3 linked regions of the Drosophila melanogaster genome follow. The protein of the gene in region 2 interacts with the protein of the main gene of each other region in a pairwise test. Each region holds a gene or a part of one and is shown on either strand. Other genes may lie near its edges.

The links.
Region 1: the proteins of Pex19 (region 2) and Arl8 interact in a two-hybrid assay, tested with the Drosophila melanogaster proteins (one large-scale study listed by BioGRID).
Region 3: the proteins of Pex19 (region 2) and CG12310 interact in a two-hybrid assay, tested with the Drosophila melanogaster proteins (one large-scale study listed by BioGRID).

What each region holds. Positions count from the first base shown.
Region 1 is NT_033777.3:8,123,602-8,132,616, reverse strand, and holds Arl8 (ADP ribosylation factor-like 8), read right to left. Parts: upstream 6,013-9,015; 5' UTR 5,898-6,012; coding exon 5,775-5,897; intron 4,577-5,774; coding exon 4,422-4,576; intron 4,356-4,421; coding exon 4,194-4,355; intron 4,128-4,193; coding exon 4,007-4,127; 3' UTR 2,782-4,006; downstream 1-2,781. Other genes in the region: CG9667 (uncharacterized protein), read left to right, coding at 6,302-6,304, 6,366-6,388, 6,452-6,612, 6,674-7,305; CG7878 (uncharacterized protein), read right to left, coding at 7,479-7,794, 7,852-8,487, 8,550-9,015. UniProt on the Drosophila melanogaster protein: Required for normal functioning of the late endocytic pathway including lysosome motility and late endosome-lysosome fusion. Not required for the delivery of lysosomal membrane protein-containing vesicles to late endosomes.
Region 2 is NT_033779.5:12,088,039-12,097,605, reverse strand, and holds Pex19 (peroxin 19), read right to left. Parts: upstream 5,785-9,567; 5' UTR 5,480-5,784; exon of another isoform or gene 5,248-5,479; intron 3,919-5,247; 5' UTR 3,745-3,918; coding exon 3,696-3,744; intron 3,613-3,695; coding exon 3,495-3,612; intron 3,429-3,494; coding exon 3,125-3,428; intron 3,059-3,124; coding exon 2,895-3,058; intron 2,838-2,894; coding exon 2,594-2,837; 3' UTR 2,371-2,593; downstream 1-2,370. Other genes in the region: Mt2 (methyltransferase 2), read right to left, coding at 1-910, 960-1,020; CG6712 (uncharacterized protein), read left to right, coding at 1,186-2,370.
Region 3 is NT_037436.4:15,047,482-15,054,179, reverse strand, and holds CG12310 (uncharacterized protein), read left to right. Parts: upstream 1-3,373; 5' UTR 3,374-3,414; coding exon 3,415-3,759; 3' UTR 3,760-3,917; downstream 3,918-6,698. Other genes in the region: CG18649 (uncharacterized protein), read left to right, coding at 77-355; CG43680 (uncharacterized protein), read left to right, coding at 885-1,034; CG13461 (uncharacterized protein), read left to right, coding at 1,705-2,118; CG43679 (uncharacterized protein), read left to right, coding at 2,966-3,157; CG18581 (uncharacterized protein), read left to right, coding at 3,981-4,484; CG43678 (uncharacterized protein), read left to right, coding at 4,718-4,972.

The sequences.
Region 1 (9,015 bases), on a different chromosome or scaffold from region 2:
CTAATGATCTATTTTCATGTTTCTTTCTCGCAATAAAGAAGTAAATTAGCACAAGTGAGCTTACATTCGAAATTGATGTCCAACTGCAGTAGTTTTTTCTCCCCGTGCAGTTTCATCTTGGAGCCCTCTGGGGGACACTCGACAATGGGCCAAATGGCTGGCTCGAAAAGGCAAAATGCAGGCAACTCGTAAATCCGCATCGATTGCTTCGCCAGAAATCCATACTGAATTGATTGCATTTGGAGCAGGATCCACGAGCGAGAAAATAGGGGGCGCGGTGGCGGTGGTCCCTGCTCAAAATGTTGCAATTAATTTTTGCACAATGCTCTTTGTGCTATTTAGTTCTCGATTTTGCAGCATTATGGCAGCGACTCTTCGTTGTCTCCGCTTAATTGCCCCCGAAAAAGAAAAAAAAAAAAAAAAGAAAGGATCGCTGACAAAAAGGCGAGGAAAAAGGCAGAACTTCCACTCCAACGCAAAACAGTAGCTGAGCTCAGATCCAGAGAGAGCGAAAGAAATAAGGATGGAAAAAGGCAGAGGACGATGAAGACTCCTTTTGGGTTCTTTTTTTGGGCCCCTTTGATTTGCATATATTTTGGTTTTAATTAGTTAACAAGCTGCTTTCGTTTGTTGCGATTGCATGTTGAACCACGACGCGTATCGTAGATGCTGCAGGTCCCTTCTTTCTCCACCGTACGAAATCCCCCCCAAATTGCATGCATAAGGAGCGGACAACAACAACAGCAACGTATAAAATCAAACACGATTTTTAGCAGTTTTCAATTCCCGGAAATCTTGTACGATATGTAGCACCATACAACTGCGGATTGTGCTGATTGTTGTTGCTCGCTGCCGTTGAGCTGGCCGTTTTAGCCAGTTTTCAATTCCCTATCCTTGGCCAAAGAGCCTGGCTCGAGTTGGCGCGCGATACGATTTCGATTCCGATTCGCCAGTATCGTGCAAATGTTTCATTATTTAACTGATTTCAGTTGGCCAGCCAAGCGGCCAAGCGGCCAAAGAGCCAAGTCAGCGCTAACAGCTGGGCCCAAGAGCAAAAGGCAATCGAAGAAGAACTGGCGGACTGGCGACAACTTCGGATTGGAATACCAACGAAAATTCCAAGATGTTGTCATCAATTAAGCTGCCTCGTATGCAAGTGTAGGCCTTTTCACACCTGAGAGAACTTTATTAGGCCGGGCCTAAAAAAAATGAAAAGAAAAACAGCAACCTCATACATTGGCAGGAGGATGCGTAAATTATGGTCTAGGCCGTCGAGGCTAAGAAGGCAAATGGCGCTGGCCAATAAAATGCCAGATAAATCAAGCCAGAGGTGGAAATCGGCAGTACGGAGTTTAGTGAATTCAACAGAAATGAGCCGGCTACGAGACTTATTTGCATTCGCCCTCTTGTCAGCCAAGTTGTCGTCGCGTTTTGGCCTTCTTACCCTTGCCACCTCCGCGGAAACTTACCATCTCCCGACTCGGCTACTGACAGTCTGCAAGAAAATAAAGCAAAATAAGAGCCAAACATGAAAACTGTTGCCCACGAGTCTGGCGAGTACGCGGTAGAGCCTCACCATCAGCATCAGCCCCCAATCCAATCCAGCCAGACAGCCTTTTGTTCCATCTTGTTAAGACCTGAACTTTATGCCAGCTTCGGGTTATTGTTTCTGGGCAGGGGTCCAATGCCACAGTTCCAGGAACTTTTCAGGTGGCACAGCATGTTCGGGCCAGACACACTTTTGGTGGCCTCGTGCAGCAACCATTGTGGGGGTCTTCAATTAAAATATATTTAAGAACAATTTGGTTAGAAAATGGCGATCGATTGAAGGTTGACTTACTTTAATGGCACTCTGCTAAACTATTTGGTATAGGAGATAACACATATTGAGCTACCTTTTTCTAGTGAAAAGCTATCATCTCAGAAATCAATCACTGAATCTCCACCGACTCGCAGGAACCCCAAGAGAGTGTAATCCACATATTAATAAATTATCTTGAATATATAAATTAGGTATTTCTGCGTAAATTTATGGTCAACACGCCGCCTAGTTTATTTTTTGTCAATGTGATTTGCTCATTCTTTTCTCTATTTTTTTTTATTTCATTTTCATCATTAATTTTTTGTTTTTTTTTGCATTTTTTGACTTGACGGCTTTTCATCAAAGGAGTCACGATGATGGCAACTGTGGCGCATACAAATGAATGGATCTGGCTCGATGGGGTCTGCGAAAATATAAAAAACAGCTACAACAAATTTAAATGTTGTTTGGGAATGTTTTATTTGTCATTATATAATCAGCACAAGTCGCACAAATCGCTGAAAATTAAGCAGAAAGAACTAAGCACCGTCTGCCTTTGTGGCATCAGCAAGAATATCATTTTTATTTTACACGTCGAATACAGTGGGGTTCATAAAGTTAAAGCGAATAGAGTCACAAGCCATTTATTCGAAAGACTTCCACTTGTCTAACCAATTGATTCTGCAATAATTAATCAGCATAAAAAAGTCGATTCAATTTGCTATCGCTGACAACTTCAGATCAGATAAACCCACTTGCAATTAAAGACCAGTCAACTAATCAGTTAATGAATACGTCAATTCAATGACAAACAACGAACCATTTGTTTCATCACTTCTATGTATAGTATATCAATTAGTTGTTTTAAAGCTATGAACCGCACTGTCCATTTGTCTTTACGATTTTATACGACATCTAAGCACAGGGCATATGCGTAATGTTCGCAAATGTTTTCGGCTTGTTGTTGATGCTCGTTTATAGTTTTGGTATGAAAATTTACGAGCACATCGTTAGCGGTATATTTTTCTTTTTTTTTCGGAGATTCGCCTCGAGTTGTGGCCGAATGTTTGGCTTGTGGCAAATGGCTGCGAAGCGAGATGCTTATCGCTGGCCCTGTTAATACCCCGCATTTAAAAGTGTAATTAACGCAATTTGAAATATGAGGCGAGCGACAAAACGAAAGACTTAGGAAACGAACGCGCAATGTGTGCGGCAGGAAGATTGCTACGTATTCGGACTTCCAAAGGAAGCAGGAAGCTACAGAGACATGGGGCATGCAAGCATTTGAGCATGACTCACTCAATCGCACGGCTCGTGCTTGACGCGTATTCCTGGAAGTCGGAGCCCTTGTCCACCTGCTCCCCTCCTCCGTGGCTATCCTCCGGTAGCAGTGACTTGATTCTGCACACAGAATTTCTAATTAGCCAAGGGCCATGGCACCTCGTTTTCCAATATTTATGCGTTCATAGGGCTGTCTGCATCTATCAATTGTTAGCCTGCAACGTCTGCATTTGGGTGGCCGACTAATGCTGGTCGTCTTGACTCTATAAATTACATTCGAACAAGTGTTTGGAATATTTGATGCTTTCAATCGCCGCAATCTCAGTTATTTGTAATTTATGAGACTCACTTGGGGTTTTGTAATGTTTTTATAATTTGTCTTTATTGGTTTTTCATTTATTTTTCGTTTTATTGCTGTTGTTTGTATGCCTTGCTCGTTATCAGTTTTCAAAATTTGGTTATTGTAGTTTATAATTTGCATTGCTGTTTCATATAAATTATCATAATTAACTAGGTGAATGTTAATGAGTATAGGAAAAGCGTGACAAGGCTTAAGAATCGCAATTCGGTTTTTTGGCTGCAGCTAGAAAACCTCAACAATTTTTTTTTTGCATATTTTACAATCAATCATGGAATTTCTTTAACTATGGCTTTCACTTGCTTAATTGAATTTACATTCATATTGTTTTAATATATATTTATAGTTTAAAACGTCTTTATAATTTATGCTTTTCCGCTGCTTTCGCATTCCAGTTTTCGCTAAGCAAAAATTCCAGTTGAAAATAATCCGCATCGAAGCATATAAGCGAAATGTAAAATATATAATGAATACAAAAACAATAAAATTAAAATATGTGTGAGATATAGTGCCTAAGTGTGTGAGTGTAGAGGGTACGGAGTTGTGTGTATGTCGGTGTTCGTTATCTAACGACTTTGGCTTTTCGAATGTTGAATTAACCACTGCAGCGTGATGTCAATGTTGTCCTTCTCCTTGCAGGAAATACTATAACAGCAGATTTCACGGTCCTGTATGCTCGATAGATTCCTGCAATTTATTTTAAATGATTAATTTATAATTTTTAAATAGTTTTAACAATTTTAAGGCGCTCACATTCGTTCGATGAGTCCGGTTTCATCGAGAGCGCCTGGAAGATCTCGTTTATTGCCCAGCACGAGAACTGGAATGCCGGCGAGCTGCGGTTTGTCCAACAGTGAGTGCAGCTCGTTCCTCGAGGCCTCTAATTTGTCCAGATCGGCTGCGTCCACCATGTAGCTGTTGATTAATACATTACAGTGTTACTTGACTACCGATTGTTGCTTAAGTATCATTATTGCTTACACAATCGCATTAACGCCGCGACAATAGCGCTCCCACATGGATCGGAATCGAGGTTGGCCTCCGATGTCCCACACCTTGATAGTCACATTGCCTCTGGTGATCTTGCGCATGTTGAATCCAACTGTGGGTATCATGTCCTCAGCGAATTGGCCGGACTACAAGAAACAAAAATAATTAGTAAGTAATCGTGTCTTAAATAAAATACAACTTTTATATTAGCAAAGAACAAAGCCTAGAAGTATGCAATCCAAAATAATGTAAAACTCGTGTAAAAAATTGATTTTTTACACATGACAGCATCCAAAACCTTAAAAAATTTGTTATTCTTTTTGAAAATGCTCTTAAATAAATAACTATTGTAATATCTTAAAGTATTGATCAAACAATGTCTTTTGGTACTAAATTTAATTCAACATACAACACTTAAATTGATAATTGATTCTAACCCATAAATCTTTGTTCTGTATCAGCATCAATCACCTTACATATGCATTCAATAAGAGAATCGAAAGCTCCTAAAATGGCAAGATGTTACTTCTGTGACTTAGTTTAAATTAAAAAGGTATACTATAGGTTAGCAGTCGCTAGTGAAATGGGAAAAGTGACTAATTGGCGCCACCCACAAGTTTGTTTTCATTCCGAACCTGAACATTACACTAATGCACGAATCTGAATGCAAACACGGAATTGGAGTCTAATAGCAGTGATAAGCAGGGGAATATTTCCGTTTCGGGAGCACTTGAACAAACAAATTTCCCGTAGATGCGGGCAGACATTTGAATCGAATTCACATGACTCATAATAAGTCAGGCGGTCACAAAGGCAGTAGTTACTCCACCTCCCGCAACGACTGGCAAGTGTATGCAACTATCTACGAGTTCCAGTAAATGGTAACTTGAGATCGTCGCATTATCAGCGTGCAGAAATGTGTGAAAAAAACCAGGGAGGCGGTACGGGAATACGGGGTCAGGGGTTGAAGTGCTGATAATGGCGTCATTGTGCGGAGAAACATGCGTATATATGGGCTATATGTAGGTTTATTGATTACAGCGGCAGGAACGGTAAACTTTACCACTAAAAGGAAACGGTTAGCACAGCGTTAATTACGGATGCAGTGAAAGAAACTGGGAGTACGAAAAGATAAGAAATAAACAATGTTAGAGTGGGGGAATCAAGCTAAGACCAATTCCTTTGTCACTGGGGGTTTGTAATGCTTTTTAAGTAGTAGCTGATCCCCCGGCTTTCCGTGAACCCCCTCCCCACCCACACAACAGACAACCACACACAAAAAAAACCACCCTCTCACCCATACACCCACACGAATTCGCACACACCCACTGCGAAAATACTCACTGCAATAACATTGACGAACGTCGTCTTCCCGGAGAACTGCAGCCCCACTAGCGTGAGTTCCATCTCCTCTTTCCAGAAGATGCTCTTGAACCACTCGAGGATCCTGTTGATGAGGGCCAACATCCTGGGGCAGGTGTGTTTCTGGTCGGGATCTGCTTGAAATTCGCGAAAAAAGGTTTCCTTTTCCAAAGAGCGTAAATGTTGTCGTGAAAAAACAACTGGGCAGGTCAGTGTGGCCAAGTGCGCGGTAGTGTACTTAGTAGTATTCGTAGTGAATGGTAATCGTTTATTTCAGCATGTATCCAATTAAGAGAAAATAAAATTCATATGGTATATATATATTAAGTACAAATAAATAATATTATGTCTTCGGGTTTCATCGGGAATATTATTAATAAATTGCATTTAAAATATATGTGAAATCGCTACTGGACAATATTTACTGTACTTGCTATCGATAACGTGTAACCGATTTCCGTATAGTTCGCTGTGACTGGCAATTAAGGCAGAAGAAGTTAGTAAACAAAATGGTAAGATGATGTGAAAATTTTATTAATTTTAATTAAATGAATAATACATGTATATTTTCAGGCGCGCAATGCAGAGAAGGCAATGTAAGTAACCCGGATATACGTATAACATAAGATTTCCAGCACTCATCCGCTTATTTTCGACAGGACAACTTTGGCACGTTGGCGGGCCGCAAAAGAAGTGGAATCTGGTGAAAAGGAACGCCGGCCCTATTTGGCCTCCGAGTGCCACGATTTGCCCAGATGTGAGAAGTTCCGCCTGGAGATAATACGCGACATATCGAAGAAGGTGGCCCAGATACAGAATGGTACCTATTTCGGTTTATTTATTTCTCCCTAACAATATACACTAATAGCGACCACTTATAGCTGGCTTGGGAGAATTCCGGATTCGCGATCTGAACGATGAAATCAACAAGTTATTGCGTGAGAAACGGCATTGGGAAAATCAGATATCCTCATTGGGTGGCCCCCACTATAGACGCTATGGTCCCAAGATGTTCGATGCGGAGGGCCGTGAAGTTCCCGGCAATCGAGGCTACAAATACTTTGGAGCCGCCAAGGATCTGCCGGGTGTTCGCGAGCTCTTTGAACAGGATCCTCCGCCGCCACCCAGGAAATCACGCGCTGAACTAATGAAGGACATAGATGCCGAATACTACGGCTATCGAGATGACGAAGATGGTGTTCTGATCCCTCTGGAGGAACGCATCGAACGAGCGGCCATTCAGAAGGCCGTGCAGGAATGGCGGGAGAAAATGGCCAGAGATGGTCGCATAATCGATGACGAAGAGGAGGATGAAATATATCCCCTTTCGGGACCAGCACGCGAAGCCATCGAGGATGCCAAGGCTCGAGCCGCCGTGGAGGATCCTCATGGCCTATTGGCATCCAAGTTCACCGCTCACGTTCCCGTGCCGACGCAACAAGATGTACAGGAAGCACTGCTGCGCCAGCGGAAACGGGAACTGCTGGAGAAATACGCCGGTGGCACTAACTAAGCTCAATAAACATTCTAAACTCTTAGTTTGATACATTTAAATCGCGTGTTCTTTTAACACGGCATGTTTTGGGTTATGATCATCTATAATTGGAATAGATAAATAGTTAAACAATTTTTGGCAAGGCACTTCAATGCGCTCTAGTCTCTTATAACTAGAAAATGTAGAATGAATCAGTATTGAAATTGATCGAAATTTCGGCGTCCGCCGCCACGTCCGCCTCCAAAACGACCACCTCTTCCTCCAAAACCGCCACCTTCAGCAGCGCGCTTGTCCTTCATGGCTTTAAAGCGTCTAGCCATGTTGTGCAGTTCGTCGGGCACTTCCTGCTCCGCCTCCTGCAGTATCTCAATTAGTTCCTTGGCCATAGCCCAATCCTCGCGCGTAAAAAAGCTTATTGATGTGCCCTGTCGGCCAGCACGTCCGGTGCGACCAACACGGTGCACATACTCCTCGATGTTGTGCGGAAAATCATAGTTGATGACATGTCTTTGTGGATGAAAAAATAATGACTAATGGGTTCCTCGACTCGAAAAATTTGCTTACGTGATATCCTCAATGTCCAGGCCACGTGATGCCACATCGGTAGCAACCAGAATGCGCACGACGCCGGACTTAATATCGGCAATAGCCTGCTCACGATCCATCTGATCGCGATTACCATGAATGCACTGGGTCATGAAACCATCCAGCGTAAGTTCACTGGATAGGTCGTCAGCACGAACCTTGCGTCCACAAAATATGATGATCTTGTCCGTACTGGACATGTTCTTAACGAAAGATGTAATGGTGTTGAATTTGTCCATGTCATCCTCCATCAATTTAATAATTTGTTTCACCGAGTGCGTGGCTGCCAGATCGAGCGATCCGACACACACCTGGATGGGATTCTTCATATAGCTCTGCGCTAAACGACGTACTCCTGGTGGCCAAGTGGCCGACGTCATTATGGTCTGACGGTCCGGACGTATGTCTAGCATCACCTTCCGGATCTGCGGCTCGAAACCCATGTCCAGCATGCGATCTGCCTCGTCAAGCACCAGATAAGTGATGGTGCTTACATCAATGACATTGGCCATTATCAAATCGTTCAGGCGTCCCGGAGTGCAGATAATGATCTCCGCACCGCGCTCCAAGTCGGATATCTGCATGTTGCGATTGCCACCGCCGTACACGCAAACCCTGCAAATTGTGTTATTTTGGTTAAAAAGGGAACTCACTTCATGTTCGATTAGGATAATTACGCTTTCATGCCACGAAAGGAGTACTTCTTGACCTCCATTTCGATTTGCAGAGCCAACTCCCGAGTGGGTGCCAGCACCAGAACGTTAGCTCCGCCCCTCGTGCCCCTGGGCGTGCTCTGGTACTCGGTGTGAATCATTCCGGGCAAAAGGAAGGCTAGTGTTTTGCCAGTGCCTGTTTGGGCGATACCGATCATGTCATGACCTTGGAGGAGAATGGGCCACGCCTGCGATTGGATGGGCGAGGGCTTGGAGAAGCCCATTTTGGTAATCTCCTCAAGCATATCTGGATATTCGGCAAAGCATTGCTCGAAGGTCCAAACTGGATTTGGAATAGGCGGTGACGTTTCCCCCTCCTTTGGCTCGAAAACATAAGAAACTGTTATCTTGTTGTTCTCCTCGCGAATGCGCTCAATCTCCGATTTTGTCAGATTGGCCACTTCAGGAGCCTCCTTGTAAAAGTTCTTTG
Region 2 (9,567 bases):
CGATACTTTTGTCGATTCGTTGTTTCTGGCGGAAATTCAAAATTCTCCGGAAAACTCATTAGACGAGCAACTTCCCGTGGCGTGAAATAGCGCAGTCTCACCTGGTGCAACAGGTCCAAGCGTTGCTGCAAAATCTTCTCCGACTTCGATGCATCCTGATTACTTGTGTCAATTTCCTTGACCAACTCGAAGATGCGGTGGGATTCGTCCTCCGAAAGCGGTGTGTATGCAGAGCCCGTGCCCTCGGTGTAATGGGTGTAGCCCTTTGTAAAGCACATGGATCTACTTTGAGCAGGATGTATTATGTCCATGACCAGCACTCTTTTGGTCAAGACATCGTCGGGCACCAGGAAATCGGGTGATACATTTTCCTCCACAATCTCGGCAATTTGTGAAAGACCCTGATTCTGGGCTATAGCACCCGGCATTTCTTCCCAGATCTTTCCACCGGCAAATGGAAAGTCTGCACCCTTGCGGGCGATGCAATAGTAGCGATATCGAGTATTTGGCACATTGAATTGCGTTGGCGTTAGAATAAACTCCCGCCAATGGAATCCCGACCGCTCCAGCGATTCAATAAACTGATTTCGCGCCTGTGAGCTCTCGAAACCCTTGACGTTTTCCATGAGTATGTACTCCAGTTCCTGGCACTCTGGGATCAGTCCACACAGATGAGTAAGTGCATCCGATCGCTTGTCTTCCGTGTCCCTTTGCAATCCCTGGCGAGTGTGGGGCTGACATGGCGGGGACATCAGCAGCATGTTGGCCTGAAGCTTTGTGACTTCCTTTACACTCAGGCTTTGAATATTCCTAGTTTTCACCAAATTACTGCCGTAATTGTGCGCATAAACCGCATTGGCCACGGTGTTGACATCCAAGGCGGCAACTATTTGTCCATCCAATTGGGCATCTTCAAAAGTATATATTAGTTTCGCATGTATCATGATCGACGAACTCACAATTAAAGGCATAATGCATGCCGCCAATGCCACTAAATAGTTCTAAGACCCGAAATACCATTTTAATTAAATATATTTTTGTTTACAAACTACACGTTGTGAGTGGCACGTTTTCCAACACTGCCCCACACAGCAGATTGTCTGCGTTTCCGTGTGATTGGTATAAGAAGAAGAATATCAACACGTGCCGCTCGCATTTTTGTGAATTCGTGATTCTCTCGGAATAATGATAAAAATTAAGCGAAAAACAGCCCCTCCGCCCGTGGAACAGGACTCGGACAGCGATTCCAGCTTTGACGAGGAGGAGCCACAGGATTTGGAAGTCCAGGAGGGGCCAGTCACTGATAGCAGCGATGAAGAAGCCGCCTCCAGCAGCAAAAAAACGGCCAAACAAGGGGAAGCCAGTGAGGATTTAAAGGAAGAGGATGATGACGACGATGAGGAGGAGAATGACGACGACGACGAAGAAGAGGATGATGACGACGACGACGACAAGAAGACACGAATTCCTGTTTTGAATCCCCTCAGCTGGATGCGCAACAAGGAGCAGCGTTTGGCGTTGTACAAAAAAATGAAGAAGGAGAAGCACAAGAAAAAAATGCAGGAGCGCCGTGCCCGACGGAAGGCTGGTGTACCCGCCAATCCTGGTCACACCATAGAGAGCCTGCGAGAGAAGGACCAAACAGAGGTGGCCAATCTGAACGATTCCGACAACGAGGAGTTGCAAAAGGAACTCCAACTGGACGATTTCAGCTCGTACTTCGAACGTTCGTACGAGCCAAAGGTGCTGATCACTTTTGCTGACAATCCGGTGACCAAGACGCGTAAGTTTGGACTGGAGCTTTCGCGCATATTCCCCAACGCCCTGGTTAAGATTCGCAACAAGTCGTCGGTGAAGAAGATATGCAAAAGCGCCGAGCGCGAGGAGTTCACAGACGTCGTGATCGTTAACGAAGATCGCAGAAAGCCCAATGGGCTGCTGGTCATTCATCTGCCCAATGGTCCCACTGCCCACTTCAAGCTGTCCAACGTGAAGCTCACCTCGGACATAAAGCGCGATCACAAGGAGATAACCAAGCACAGGCCCGAAGTGATCCTGAACAATTTTACCACACGTTTGGGTCTGACCGTGGGCCGCATGCTGGGTGCCCTCTTCCATCACGATCCCGAGTTCCGCGGCCGCCGAGCGGTGACGTTCCACAATCAGCGAGATTACATATTCTTCCGTCACCACCGCTACGAGTTCACCAAAGAGGGAAAACGCGTAAAGCTGCGCGAACTGGGGCCGCGGTTCACCCTGAAACTACGTTCCCTGCAGGAGGGCACATTCGACAGCAAGACCGGTGACTATGCCTGGATAATCAGCAACAAACGGCACGCCATGGAGTCGCGACGTCGCTTCTTCCTCTAGGTGTATTTCGAGGCATTGTATTTAGGTATAGAACTACTTAATAAACCAACAGTTAATACGAAAATAATAGCTTGATTGAAGAGAGAGGTGATAACCATTAGCGACCGCCGTATTGTTTTGTCGGTGATAAAATAAAATACAAATTTGCCTTAGCCTAAAAAATGTGCAACACTCAACAGTTAACCAATTGGCACACCACGAGACTATCGTGCTCCGTCAGCCACTACATGGTTGGGCACTGGGGACCGGGACCGCCGGCTGCTACGCCGGCAGTGGGATCGCCGAAGGGCAAGTCGCCGCCCGTCTCGGCCAGAATCTCTGGCGGCGGCTGGCCGTAGTCTTGCAGTTTGCGCATGTCGTCCAGCACGACGCGGAACTTCTCTCGCTTCACGGCGGCCGAATCCTCGGTCTTCTCGCTCTGTAAATGCCCCTCAATCACCTTGTACAGCTCCATCTGCTTCTGGTACCTGTATGTATTGGTTTCTCAATAAAAGTATCTTATTGCGAGTTGATTTCGAGCATACCTTTCCTTGTCCTCAGCGGAGAGCTTGGCGTCGTTCTCCTCGAGGTACTTGGGGTACTTCTCCAGCAGCTCCCGGATGCTGGGCAACAGAATCTCCGCCGAGAGCAGGCTCTGCATCATGCCCTCCATGAATGGTAGGAACATGTTTCCATCACCCTCGCCAGCCTGTCAAACGGGGATTGTTTAATGATTGAGCAAGGAGAATTCATATTTCATTTTCAGGATGCATACCCCTTCAAGATTCAGTGAACCAAACATGCTGGCTATGTCGTTCTCCGAGGCGGGAGCAGCCAGGTTCTCGGAGCCCTCTTGCAGACCCTTGAGAGCCTGGGAAATGCTATCAGAATACTTGGAGACATCCTCGTCGGTGGCCGAATTTTCGCCGCTCAAGGTGAGCGCTGCCGCTTCGGCCATCTTTTTGAAACCGGCCATGATCTGGTCGGGATCCTGGGGCAGCGGCGGAATATCGCCACTGGGCGTGTCCGGACCTCCGAAGAGCGTGTTCATGCGATCGGCCAGCACCTTGGCCTGCTCACTGAAGGCGGATAACAGGTCAGAATACAAAGTTCAAGTGCCGCGTTGCACTGGCGCATTGACTCACATGAAAAACGCATCTGGATCCTCGGAGCCCTCAGGTCCAGCGTTGGTCGCCACATCCGATGATGCGGACGGCTCCTTTTGGTCACCGGCACCACTTTTATCGAAATCCTGGAGAGCACCTGTGCGAAAAGTGGACGACGCAGTGCGCATTATGTAAGGGGTCGAGAAGGGATCGCCAAAGGCATTTCCGGGCTGTACTCACTGTCCAGCAAGTCGTTTAATTCATCGCCATTCTTCTTTTCTTCGGACATTGTGCAATTTCGGGATGCTTTTCCTTGATTTCGTGGTGGGTGGGAAATGGTAAAAAATAAAGACTGACTGAATCAATCAGTGGGACCGTTCATCTGCTGCTGGTGCATACCGCAGTCAGCTGAACAGGTGTGGCTACACTGACTCACATCTTAGTGCGACCGCATTCGTAACGGCTTTTTAAAAGGATGCGAAATGATAAGAAAAAAATTTAAAAATTAACTTTTCTATATAATTGTTGGTTTTAATTTTAAGATTTCAGTTTCGGTTAGGGCTTAGACAAAATTCATATTACTTAAACAACTTTTAAATGCATTTAATGTTTTTTTTAAGAAAAATAGCTATATTTTGTTTAATTTTTAGTAAATATATTCCTTAAATTAAGAATTCTTATTTGTTACTATTATATAAAGTTCAAAACAAGTTCAGAATACCTATTTCGAAATAATCTGGAATGCATTATTATTGTGGACTACACATAAGTGTGAAAATGTCTAGCCATTTAATTCATATAACATATATTTATTGTCAATGAAAATTTCGAGTTTTGATTTAGAAAATTATATGTCTTACAACAACAAGTCATCAGTACACCCATCTACAATATAATAGTGTACATATTTAAATCTAGGCCTACATCAGACTAATAAACTTAAATTCGAAGCACCTCAATATCCCTCCTGTCTTGAGAGACAAACCAAGGACATTAGTCGAAGATTATCTAAAATAATCACCCAAAATATTTACGCATCTTCTGCGAAACTCTCAGCCAATCTCCCCGGGAATGGCACCTCGCTGTGCGCGGACGGAGATCGGCGACCAAACTGCGACCAGAGCCCAAACCGCACATACTGAGTGGTGAGGGAGGGGTCGCAAAACCATCAAGGTCACGGCGCGACGCTGATGCGCGACCAATTCCGAAACCAGAACGTCACACCCATGGACGGGACACATGGATTTTGCAGTAGGGCGTCCAGCTCTAGGTCCACTCCCGCCCGAAGGTCACCGCTGCGGAGGAACCCCGCTTGGTTTCCTCAATTCCGCTCATATGGTCAAATGGCTGGGCTGGGATGGGCTGTGCTCTTTGCGACTTTAACCGCACGGTTTACCAGAAGAGCAAAACGAATCTTCGATTCGGTACGCCCACGCAGCGAAGTATTGTGGTAAATTTGTGTTTTTTCCTCTATTTCCACTATTGGGGCGGAGTTTTCTTCGGTCAGTCGGTTCTCTGAAAATGTCAGCATGGGCGGAGCTTCGACTGAAATAATGCATAATTTGGTGTTTTATTTTGCGGCTTAGGGTGGAACAAACCGCCTGAAACTCTTACATTTCCTACAGAAACAGGGTAATTTGACTTTTTATGGGCTGTAATCCATTTACAGAATATGCATACATATAACATCAAAAATTTCCCTAAAAACCATAACTCTCTTTTTAGGGAAAAATTTCATTCTCTATTCGCTGCGAACATCAGAGTATATAGTTCAACTTCAAATTTCTTAGAACCCAAGCAGTTCAGTTCAAAAAGTCAAGACAACCGTCAAAAAGTCAAAACAAAAGTCGAAAACGTAAAAACCCCTTCGTTGGCCAAAACAATGGTTTTTGGGTCACACTCACACCCGATCCCAATAAACCAAGAAACTCGCTCTTTTTTGACATAATTTTTAAGGCACCAACAGGCGCGTCATAAAGTTGTTTATTCCGATATAATCGGTTTGCTAGACTAGCTGAATTTACCTGAATCTCCAGCTCTATTTCCCCAGAAGAGGAAGGATTCCAACCGTCATAAAATGCCCATCAGCGTCTTCACAAGCATCTACACTTCCCTTCCTTTTTGCAGGAACTTTGCCAGGATACGATCCTGTACATCCTTTTCATATGCTGACTGCGATTTCACGCTCGCTGATCGCATCGCTATTTTTTTCAACATTTCCGCATCCTTCCAGCGAAAGATGCTCGATTTTACGATGCACTGAACAGGATATAATGGATTTCGCGATTGTTCGGTAATGACGATGATTGCGACTTTATAGACACATTATTTATATTGTGGCTGGTGTCGTGTGGCTATGGTAATAAAGTGTAAATAATAAGTATATATAAAGGAGTAAATAAATTAAGACACTAAATATATGTAATATATATGTAATATAAAAGGAATAAAAGTTCTTTAAAATAAAAAAATTATACTAATTAAATTAAACTCTGATTCTAGAAATCTGAATGTTACATTACATTCAAAATAACTTGTAGCTTTAGTACACCTTGTATTAATCATTCAAGTATCACAAAATATAAGATATTTATATATGTTTCGACATATTTTTGTGTCTGGCCAGGATGGCATTATCTTTTGATATTTTGGCCATGGTAATTGCGATTACAAGGCTCCCAGTCATTCCTGGAAAACGCTCACTTTTCCTTTGAAATCCTGCCCCGAAAAGAAGAACTGGAGAAGTCAACTGCTGGCAGCTTCCCGAAAGACAAGACACCCACATCCACCATCCAACATACAACATCCACCATCAACCATTGCGCAATGGGGCGAGCTCTTCATGCTCCGACACCCATCGCTCTCCATCAAAGTGGCCATGCAAATGAGCCCTTGCGTCTGCCATACGTTTTCCTCTAGAGGATTGGGTCGAAGGGTAGCCGACTCCAGATGATGTGGGTTGCTCTGTCTGTGCCCCCCCAGTCGCTGTTCTGTTTGATTAAGCGGAAATTAAGTGTGCGTTTCGGTTGCAGCCTCCCAATTCGCCATGCCCTGCTTTTTTTTTATCGTGAACTGCAGCACATATATGTTTTATGTTTCCCAATCGATTTGGTGGCTCAAGAGCTGCTTTTGGCTTCCTCAGGTCAAATAGTTTTTATTACAGTGGTTAGGAATTACTCCCAATTAAGTTTCATAGAAATTATAGATTGCTAAAACATAAAACCACTTCTAAGTAGGACATCATGAGAAACTTTTTAAGCTCTTCGCATAAAACTGAAGATTCTTTCCCACTAATGTATAAATAATCACGGTCTCTGCAGTCAATTTTTCCATTGGCAATGCATTTTTTTTAATAGAAAACGCCGACCGTAGCCAGTGATTAATGAAACAATTGAATGATTTTATTTAAATTCGCATATATCCGATGCAAACCGTGGCTAATGGACAAACGCCGCCGAAGAGAAGATCCAACATCTCCAAATCGAGATTCCATAGAAACACTCGGGATGTGAGAAAAACGCCACCTACTTTGTGGACTCTACGCCGAGAAAACTAATGATGTTCTTTCGCCATCCATCGAGTTTGTCCATTATAGTAGAGTATATGATCGATCCGCGATCGAACCTGATCGACTACCACAAAGCAGGGCAATTACAAATCGGGGAACTGGACAACAGGTTGCCGGCTGAGTTGGGAAATATGGATGTGGATGTGGCTCTGTGACTCTGGATGGAGATGGAACCCGGCCGGAAAACAAATTAATCTTGTTGACGTCGCAGCCTCGTCACTTTCTTCGCCAGGTCGAGGGCCCAGGTGTTTGATCTCGACCTGATGCTCCGATGCTACGATCTTCTGTTGGACAACGATGGGTTGCGCCTACATTTGCGCCTTCTGTTTAATGATCAATTTGTTGGCCTCCGTCGCCGTCTCTCAGATGTGTGCCGACAGCGTTTAGCAGTCGATTGGGCTCGGGATTGGTTTGTTTGTGCCCCGAGTTGCCGGGTTTGTTGTGCCCCAGGCTAATGAGTTTCTCGAAAGTGGGTGTATGTGGCAGGGGCTCCCCTTTTTGCCCCTGGGACACTTCCTACATGATCGGCGAAAATTCAGCCAGACTCTGTGACGTCCCAATACACAGGAAGATAATCCCTTTCAACTAACTAACTATTTATTATTTAATTTATAGCTTCTTCATTCTTATACATTTAGGTACTGAAAAATATATATTCTTAAGCAATAATTATACAGAATATGAATATTTCTTTGCATGAACAACATTTGCTAAGTATTTTCGCTGAGTGCATGACGAATGTCATGTGGTTGGAGTGCCAAAACCAAACGTTTGTGGGCAGAGGCGCGAAGTTTCCACCAATTGCGATCGAAGGTATATATGCTATGAGAGATGCTAATTTAAGGACAATGGAGTTCCGGGGAAGCCAGCTCGCGACCCACAAACAACTAATGCCTTCAATTAGCCCGGCTAAACTGCTACCAAGAGCAAGGGTTAATCGCCCGGAGATCGGGAAAGGCCCTCAGCTTTCCGCCCACTTTTTGTCGTAGAGTGGGCGTGGGCTGCGTTAAGCCGCAGCATTTTTTCGATAACTACCTGGACATGGACTCCGAGTTGGCCCGACTCGTCCTGACCCACCCAGATTGCCATGGGCCATGGCAAATCGTTTACAATTGTTGATCAATAAAACGTCGGGCTGTAATGCGATTATCCGCTATAATCGGGCGATCAACACTCGAGAACTTTTCCAAAATATTTGAAAAAGTCAACTGGCGATCGACGGGATCCAGGACACAGGCTGGCCAGGATCCAGGATCTAAGCTGCTGCGACTTTCCCTCTAATCTCGCACTTTGCCGCTATTTGTTTGCATGCTTTAGCGGGGATTGCGATTTACGATCGCTCCGGTCACAGGACTCCTGCGAAAGGACTCGCTCTGGGAGATTCAGCTCAGATGGGATAGGATGGAATGGACCACGGGATAGAATGCGACTCATATTTACTAAAACTTACTGCGGATTAGGAAAAAGTCAATCGCCGCCTGCCAGTCTGTCGAGCGAGTGGAAATATTTGAGGATCAGCGCAGAAGCGCAGGATCAACAGGGGGCTTAAGATTTCAGCTAGAAACATAGCTAAATGAAGGTATTGAAAATCAATTAAATTGTATATAATACTACATTAAACCAAAAACAAGGATTATTAGAAAAGTTGAAATGTTTGCTTTTCCTTAAAATATCTTTAGTAGGCCTGTAGCTAAATAAATAGTGCTATTTCTTTAGAATCTAAGTACTTAGATTTGCTAACTAAGTATAATATACGATGTCTAAAGATGTTGCTTGCCACGGTGTATTACGATATGCCTTCCAGAATTCCCTAATTTCTGGAAATCATGGCTCTAAATAGTCCATTATCTAAGCATCCCGTAGTGCGTTCGTCGGTCAGAGCCTTCTGTGGGCTGTGGACATGGAAATTCGATGCACACCACAGCATCCAAAGAAAAAAAAAGTAAGGAATCACCATGCCAAAGGGCCTGATAAAGACATTAGGACCCGGGGAACGTGAAACAATCAAGGCCGTTCCAATGTGTGACAACAGACCACATTACGTCCGGCCAAAGCGAATCGATTGCCAAACACAAACAGCAGCGGAAACTTGTAGAGTATAGGTAGGAAAAGTACCCTGGGATTCTGTGGACTAAACCATACCTATTACTATGATAACTATATACTTGTTATATATATAAAATACAGTTCCATCAAATATGTGCAATGAATGAATGCGCATGGTTATATAAGTTATATCTGATTCAAATATTTATTTTACGATGGGTTCCTATAACTACACTTTATTGCACTGCAATGGCATGCTATACTAAAGTTTATAGCCTGGCAATAAAACAAACTGCATGAAAGGTGTTGCGCAACTTTCGTCTGGGTTTTTAAATTTATGGAAAGGTCAAATGAACACAGCAAAAACTAAAAACCACATTAAAGAAACTTGTAAAAAAATATAAATATTAACAAAAATCTATGTTTAAAATTATTTAATTTAATGAAGTTAAATAGGCTTTCCTTTTCAGCACATATAAATATTTTCTTAAAAGATTT
Region 3 (6,698 bases), on a different chromosome or scaffold from region 2:
AATTTAGAGATTTTGCTATAAAAGCGTATTTTCAATGTGGAACTGAACTTAGTTGAAAACTAAATTTGACAATACAATGCGTGCCTATTTGCTGCTTGCCCTGTTTGGATGTGTGCTTTTGGCCACAGTTTCCGCAAATCCGGTGGACATTGACGACTTGGAGGACCTCGAGGAGGACAAACGAATTGCTGATGAGCAGGATAATGCTAACGATGATGAGAAAGACGATGAGGATTCAAATGAACCCGAGTCCGACGACGACTTAGATGAGCCTGAATCCCCGGAGGACGATTCCCAGAACAATGATGATTCCGAAAGCGACGAGAGCATCCAGTACAATCAAGATGAAGAGTAGCTCTAATGGGAATTAACCCTTTCTATTCTTTATTGTCTTTATCTACACGCTTTCACCGGTCGTTAGACGTTTAAACAACTGTTTACACAGAAATACACAGTTCATCTTCAACAACCAAATAAGTAAAGGTTTTTATGTTATTCTAGTAAATACACACATTTCTGGAAACACCCATCATAATTGGTGCTTTTTACTTAACTTCTTTTTATACAGCTCTTAAATGATTTTGTAAAGAATTACATACTAAACAAAATCTTAAAAATGCAATTTTTATTTAATTAATTGGCCTCAAAGCCACTCTTAATACTCTTATTTCAGCGCAGGGAAAAAGAAATAATTTTCTGCCTGTAATGTGTGGCTCAATAGATCAATAAATGTTTTATCTCTCAAATATTTACTTAACATTAGTAAGGTGCAGCCATTGTGCAGTTTGCAATAGAAATTTTAAAGCAAACACGGCATTCATATATAAGAAGTGCAGTACTTTGAAAAAACTTATTCAAAGAAGAACTAAGTCTACGAAATAGAGATGCACTTTCTGATGGTACTCGTGATAATTGCTCTTTTGGCCATGGCCTTTGTGAGTGCAAGCCCACTTCCCCATCCAAGTGGAGAAGTTATCGTTATTGTCAACCCAAAAGCCCCAGTTGACTGGTGCTCTACAACATCAGCGGCTTAAATTCGAAAATACAAAAATATTTAGAAATTCTCCCCCGATGCAATTTCTCAAACACAAAATATGAAATGAGCAACTGATAAATCACCAATAAAGAAAATAAAAATAAAACTTATTCAGGGTAAAACTTTTAAATACGTTTTTTGGTCTTTATAAGTTAAATGAAATCAATAAACGTTTTGAAGTTCGATTTGGAGATATCAGATTTTTTATTTTGCTTTATATTAGCACATATTACCACGACGGAAATGAAAATCCTTTAGGCGAAGTAAATAGTAATGAAGGTAAGAAAATTTGTATCTAATGTTTTAAAAAGGCCAAAAACCATTCACTATCTTTTTAATTCAATGATTGCATGCGAGTGTGTAATAAATATGACAAAATAAAAACAGAGGTCGCTATAGTCAAGTGCCACGACTATTAGATACCTGTTAATCAGAATAGAGGCAAGCACAACGAACCCACTTACTCAAAACAATTCTGGACAATTCCCAGAATAATATCAATTAAGATTGTGCGTCACCACGCAATAATGGGATAAGCATTTGTTCAAATATGAAATTCGTAAATGACTCGTTCAAATAACAAAAAAAGGCATTTAATATAAAAAGCGATTGATCGAGTAAAGTTTCAAATCAGTTTAAAACTTCGCTGAGCACAAGAACACAAAAAAATGCGATTCCTAATTGTCGTTGCTCTTGTGGCCTTTTTGGCTGTTGGTCTTGTGGCTGCACGGCCAGCTGAGGATGAGGAGTCCTCCATCCAGGATAACACCAATGAGGATTCGTCCAGTAATGATGGCGAGGGAAACTCCGATGCTGCCGAGGAAGAACCTGCTGTTGAAGAAAGTCAAGATTCTGGAAATGTGGATAACCAGGATGATGAAAATAGCGAGGATAATCAGGAGGAGTCAGATAATGAATCAAGCGGAGATGATGAGGAAGATAACAACGGGTCTGATGATAATACCGAATCGGATAATAATAACGATTCAGAAGGCGATCAGGAGCAGGATGCTCCACCCAACAACCAGATTCGACCATTCGGACCTCTTCTCATCCAAGCAAGGCCCCTTTTCCTCGATTAATAACACGTGTTTTTAAAATATCCATTAACAATAAACATTAGACAAAATGCTTTAAAATTATACAACAAATAAAACAGTAAATAAATTAAAGCTATATATGTCGATCGATATGAAAAAACGCCACAAAGTATATAATACTTTTTGCAGAATTTGTTTAGCTTGAGGGGCTTGTCTACACAGTTAAAAAAATTATATAGAATGAATACGCTTTCATACCATCAGTTTTTAAAAAAATGTATGCTTAAATGTCAGTTAAATAACAGTCTTTGGTATTTAAAATCTGGCCACAAGATTTTAAATAATTTGATTTTGCTAATATGCTGATATTATATATATAGTTAAAGTAAATTATTTCATTTAAAGTACCATAACACAAGATAAGCTGTATGTCATAACCCCAAGTATTTTCGTTAAAATCCCGTGTTACAGAATTGCTTTAGCAATTTTTACGGCTATTTTATTGTAAAACAATATATCTCTAAAGTTTTTGACTGCCATTCCCAGTGATATTATAGCAACAATGATTATATGGGGAATTTGAATAATTTCGTGCTACAGAATTTATATATTTTCAAGTTATTTTTAGTGCAAAGAAAGCTGCTTATGATATATGCCTCTCAGTTCCTAAATATATCTCTTAAATTGTAGTTCACTTACATCGTCAGGTGACGGAAGAGTTGGCAGATAAAACTGCAATATTTACTTTTGTACATATATGGCAATCTACAGATTGCACAGCTTGGCAGGTAAAATTTTTCTGAATAAGAAGAAACATTCCGTTTTTTATATAAAATGTGCAGTTGATAGGAGAAAGGTGTAGTTACCGGAGAAATTCAAGTGGATTAAGATGCGTTATTTAGGAATTATTGCTCTCGTCGCTTTCCTGGCCATTTCCACTGTGATGGCACATCCATATGCGAACAGTAGCACTGAAGAAGGATCAGGATCCAGTAACCGATCGACTATTCGTCCTGTCCCCAGATGGCCTAAGTGGGGTGGAATCGGTCCAGTCATTTTAAACACTCCCCCCACTCCGTGACAATGAACTACGGAAAGAAATTAATTGTGAAACCCCACAACGAACCTTTGTTGTTGTCTAAAAAAAAAAATATCTCCAAAAATACGCTTGTAAAACTTTCCATTGAGACAATTGTTCAAATACCAAAGCGTAAATAAAGATTTCGTAGTAGATTCTACGAATCGGCCAAAATTTGCGAGACTTTTCCTATAAATAGCTGAATGTTGTACGAAATGGGAAAGCAGTTTTCGCGATAACTTCTTAGACTCAACTTCAAAATGCGTTCCCTGATTCTTGTCGCTCTTTTGGCCTTCTTGGCTGTTGGCTTTGTGGCTGCCCGTCCAGCTGAGGATGAGGAGTCCTCCGCTGCCGTGGTTGAGAATGCCGATGAGGATTCGACTAGCAATGATGCGGAGAGCACCGAAGCCACTGATGCGGAGGAATCTTCTGATGATGAGGAGACGACTGAAGAGTCTGGTGATGCCGCTGACGAATCCAGCGATGATGCCGATGAGGATGAGACAACCACTGCAGCTTCGGCCAAGAAGCAGATCCGTCCCTTCTGGCCCAGGTTCGGAGGTCATGGTCCAGTTGTGATCAGGCGTCACCCTAGTCTTGTCTAGGTCAAAGCCCTATAGTCTTGATTGCTTAACTATTCCTTTCTATTTTCTAAATAAAAAATGTTATCTTTAACTCAAACTAAAAATTCAAACTTTTCTACCAATTTTCTATACAACTCTATTTTTTTCAAAACAAATAAAGTGAAATTTCAAAAATTAAGAAAACATTAAAAGCAGCTGATTCTTTTGTAGCAGCAGCCAGTATTGTTTAGAACGTTGAAGAAATGCGTACTTTGTGTGCTCTAAGTTTGATCGCTTTTATGGGCATAACCCTAATATCTACAAAGCCATTAGATGAATCTATCAAACCGAAAGTTTTAAGGCCACTAAATCAAGCGGATTTGGATAAAATGATAAAAAACTTGCAGTTGCTTGAAAAATTAGCCAATGAGACATATTATTCACCAGATCCCACCAAAAAGGAGACATACTTAACGCAAGATCAAAAGGCGGAGGAAACTAAAGAGCCAACTGGAGAGGAAACCGAGGAACCTTCTGGAGAGGAAACTCACAGTCCTACGGGAGAGGAAACCAAAAGTCAAACTGGAGAAGATGGCGAGTTCTTCGAAGATGAAGAGGAGGAAGATGAAGCGACTGTGGATAAACCAACTGATGTCATACCAGTTAATTTTCTAAAATATCCCGAGCACGAAGCTGATTTTAAGTCTTATCCAAGGTTTGCAATCCTTCGAAATGGCTATGTGCATCACATGAACTTGGACTTTTAGCGTTTACGCAATTTCATCACAAATTCGAGCTAATGACGTGTTCTCAAGAACATTGTCAGTTAATGTCGATAGATGGGGAAATTCCGACTACAGTCAGGTGGTTTGCACAGCTGTGACTCTGAATAAAAGTTAGATCTGTGGTACCTATGTATGAGTTTGTTTTCCTATAGCTATACCTACAAACAGTGTGCTCCGAGCCACACATTTGAGTAGTTTTGTTTTTAGTTACCAAAATGCGTCTCTACGTTGGGTTACTATCGGTTTTGGCCCTTACTTTTATGATTGCCTTAATCACGTGTGCTGATTCATCATCTGGAAAGTCCCGGAATCGCGAAGATCGATTTGATCTAGAAAACGAGAGCTTTAATAATCAAGGAAGTGACGAGCTAATTGCGTCATGTGAAAGTAAAGAGAGTGTGGAAATCAATAGCTGTCGTCAGGGGAAAAGTAAATACCCCAAAAGAAAGACATTTAAATTCGCCATTTAGTTAAAACATTCGATAATACTGTTCTCAATAAAAATGTATTAAAAACAAATAATAGCTATGATGTTTACTTGGTTTGGTTTTTATAGTTAGAATATATTTTGATAAGTACTGATTTTTGATCATGCAGGCCATAGTTTTTTGCTATTCTTTAAATATATTATTTATACAGCATTTGCTTTTAAAGATAATTTTTTTCACAAAATTGTATAATGTATATATAATTTTTCTTTTTATAGTTAAACAAGTTGTGAATAAGTTGTGTATTCAATTTGTATTTTCAGTGAATTCAACTCATCGGCAAGATGGTTATGGTTAGTTCCGCGGTTCTGGGGGCCGCAGCCGGTACAGGATTGGCCCTGATCCTGGCCGTGACAATCGTCATGTACCGCTACTACCTTCTGCGTAAGCGTGGCAAGGAGTGGGACGAACTGGACCGCTGGGAGGAAACGCGCATTATGCGGAAGCTGCAGATGAAGGTAGGCGACTGACGCAGTCTGTTAATGTTAATGTGATTGCGGCCAGAACGAGGCGAGGACACCCCGTGAAGTTGCAGACGCACAGCTGACACTACCAGGCCAGAATGATATGGAGCACAAAGTTGGCCGAATAGCGTGGGAGGTTGGTCTGCCTGTAAATGACATAGGTCCAATGGTTTCATAAATACGTTATATGGGGATGCTTACTTTGTTTGTTTTGAAATCTCTTTAAGAATTCTTTTGTTTTAATTATATTTCAACTTGTGCCTAAGATTAATATAATATAGACCGTGGGCTATCGAACGGATTTCTTGGTTGTTTTTCAAACCAACTGACTGCAAGGACGGCTGAGATTTGAGTTTACACGCTTATAATACAGTGGCGCCACTATTTCAATTACATGTAGCGGCGAACTTCTGAACTAGTGGTATCTACACTTTATCTACATTTCATGTAAAATACTGGTTTTTCTGATTTCAATATAAGAAATTGTAATCTACGACTATCTAATAACAATATTAGGTATTAAAGATCAAGAATAACATGGCTTAGGAAATGATATGGTCACTATAGCAAATATGTATAAATTGCGTTTAACAGTGACGATTTTTTGGGTATTTATCTTAAATTTTATTGACCATACTTTATGGGAAATGATAAATTGTTCAAATATATTTATTAGAGTTGAGTACCCATCTTGACGCTTAATTTCTTTAAGAAAGCGATTATATTTTTAATTTACAACTTAAAAATGAATATTTACATTAAAATATGATTAATAGAAAGCTTGAATATTTTGAAAATGTGGTTTTGTAGTTAAGAAATCCTGTACGGTATACATAACCATTAATTACATGCCAGAAAACTGAGTTGGTCAGCCATTTTGAATCAGTGAGAAGTCCAAAGGATCGCAGACAACCACAAGGATACAAATGTGTCTGGTGCTCCTGGGAGAGCGGCTGCAATCGAATGAATGAGGCCGTATCAAAATCTGTTTTATTATGCATTTGATATACCCCTCGGCAATCGGCAATCCGCCGGAACCCGGGGGTTGTTCCGATTCTGAAATCCTACCTTGTTTCCAAGGATTCGGATGGTGACCTAACCCAACGCGTGCTGGCGGATGGGGAGGATCAGTGAAGCGTTTTACGATTCCAAATGCTGTTTTTATTAACTAACTGGCTTTGGTCGTTGACAGCGGGGTAAGTGGTGGACTTAAGGGTGCTAAGCGTTTCTGGTTTCGTTTTGTT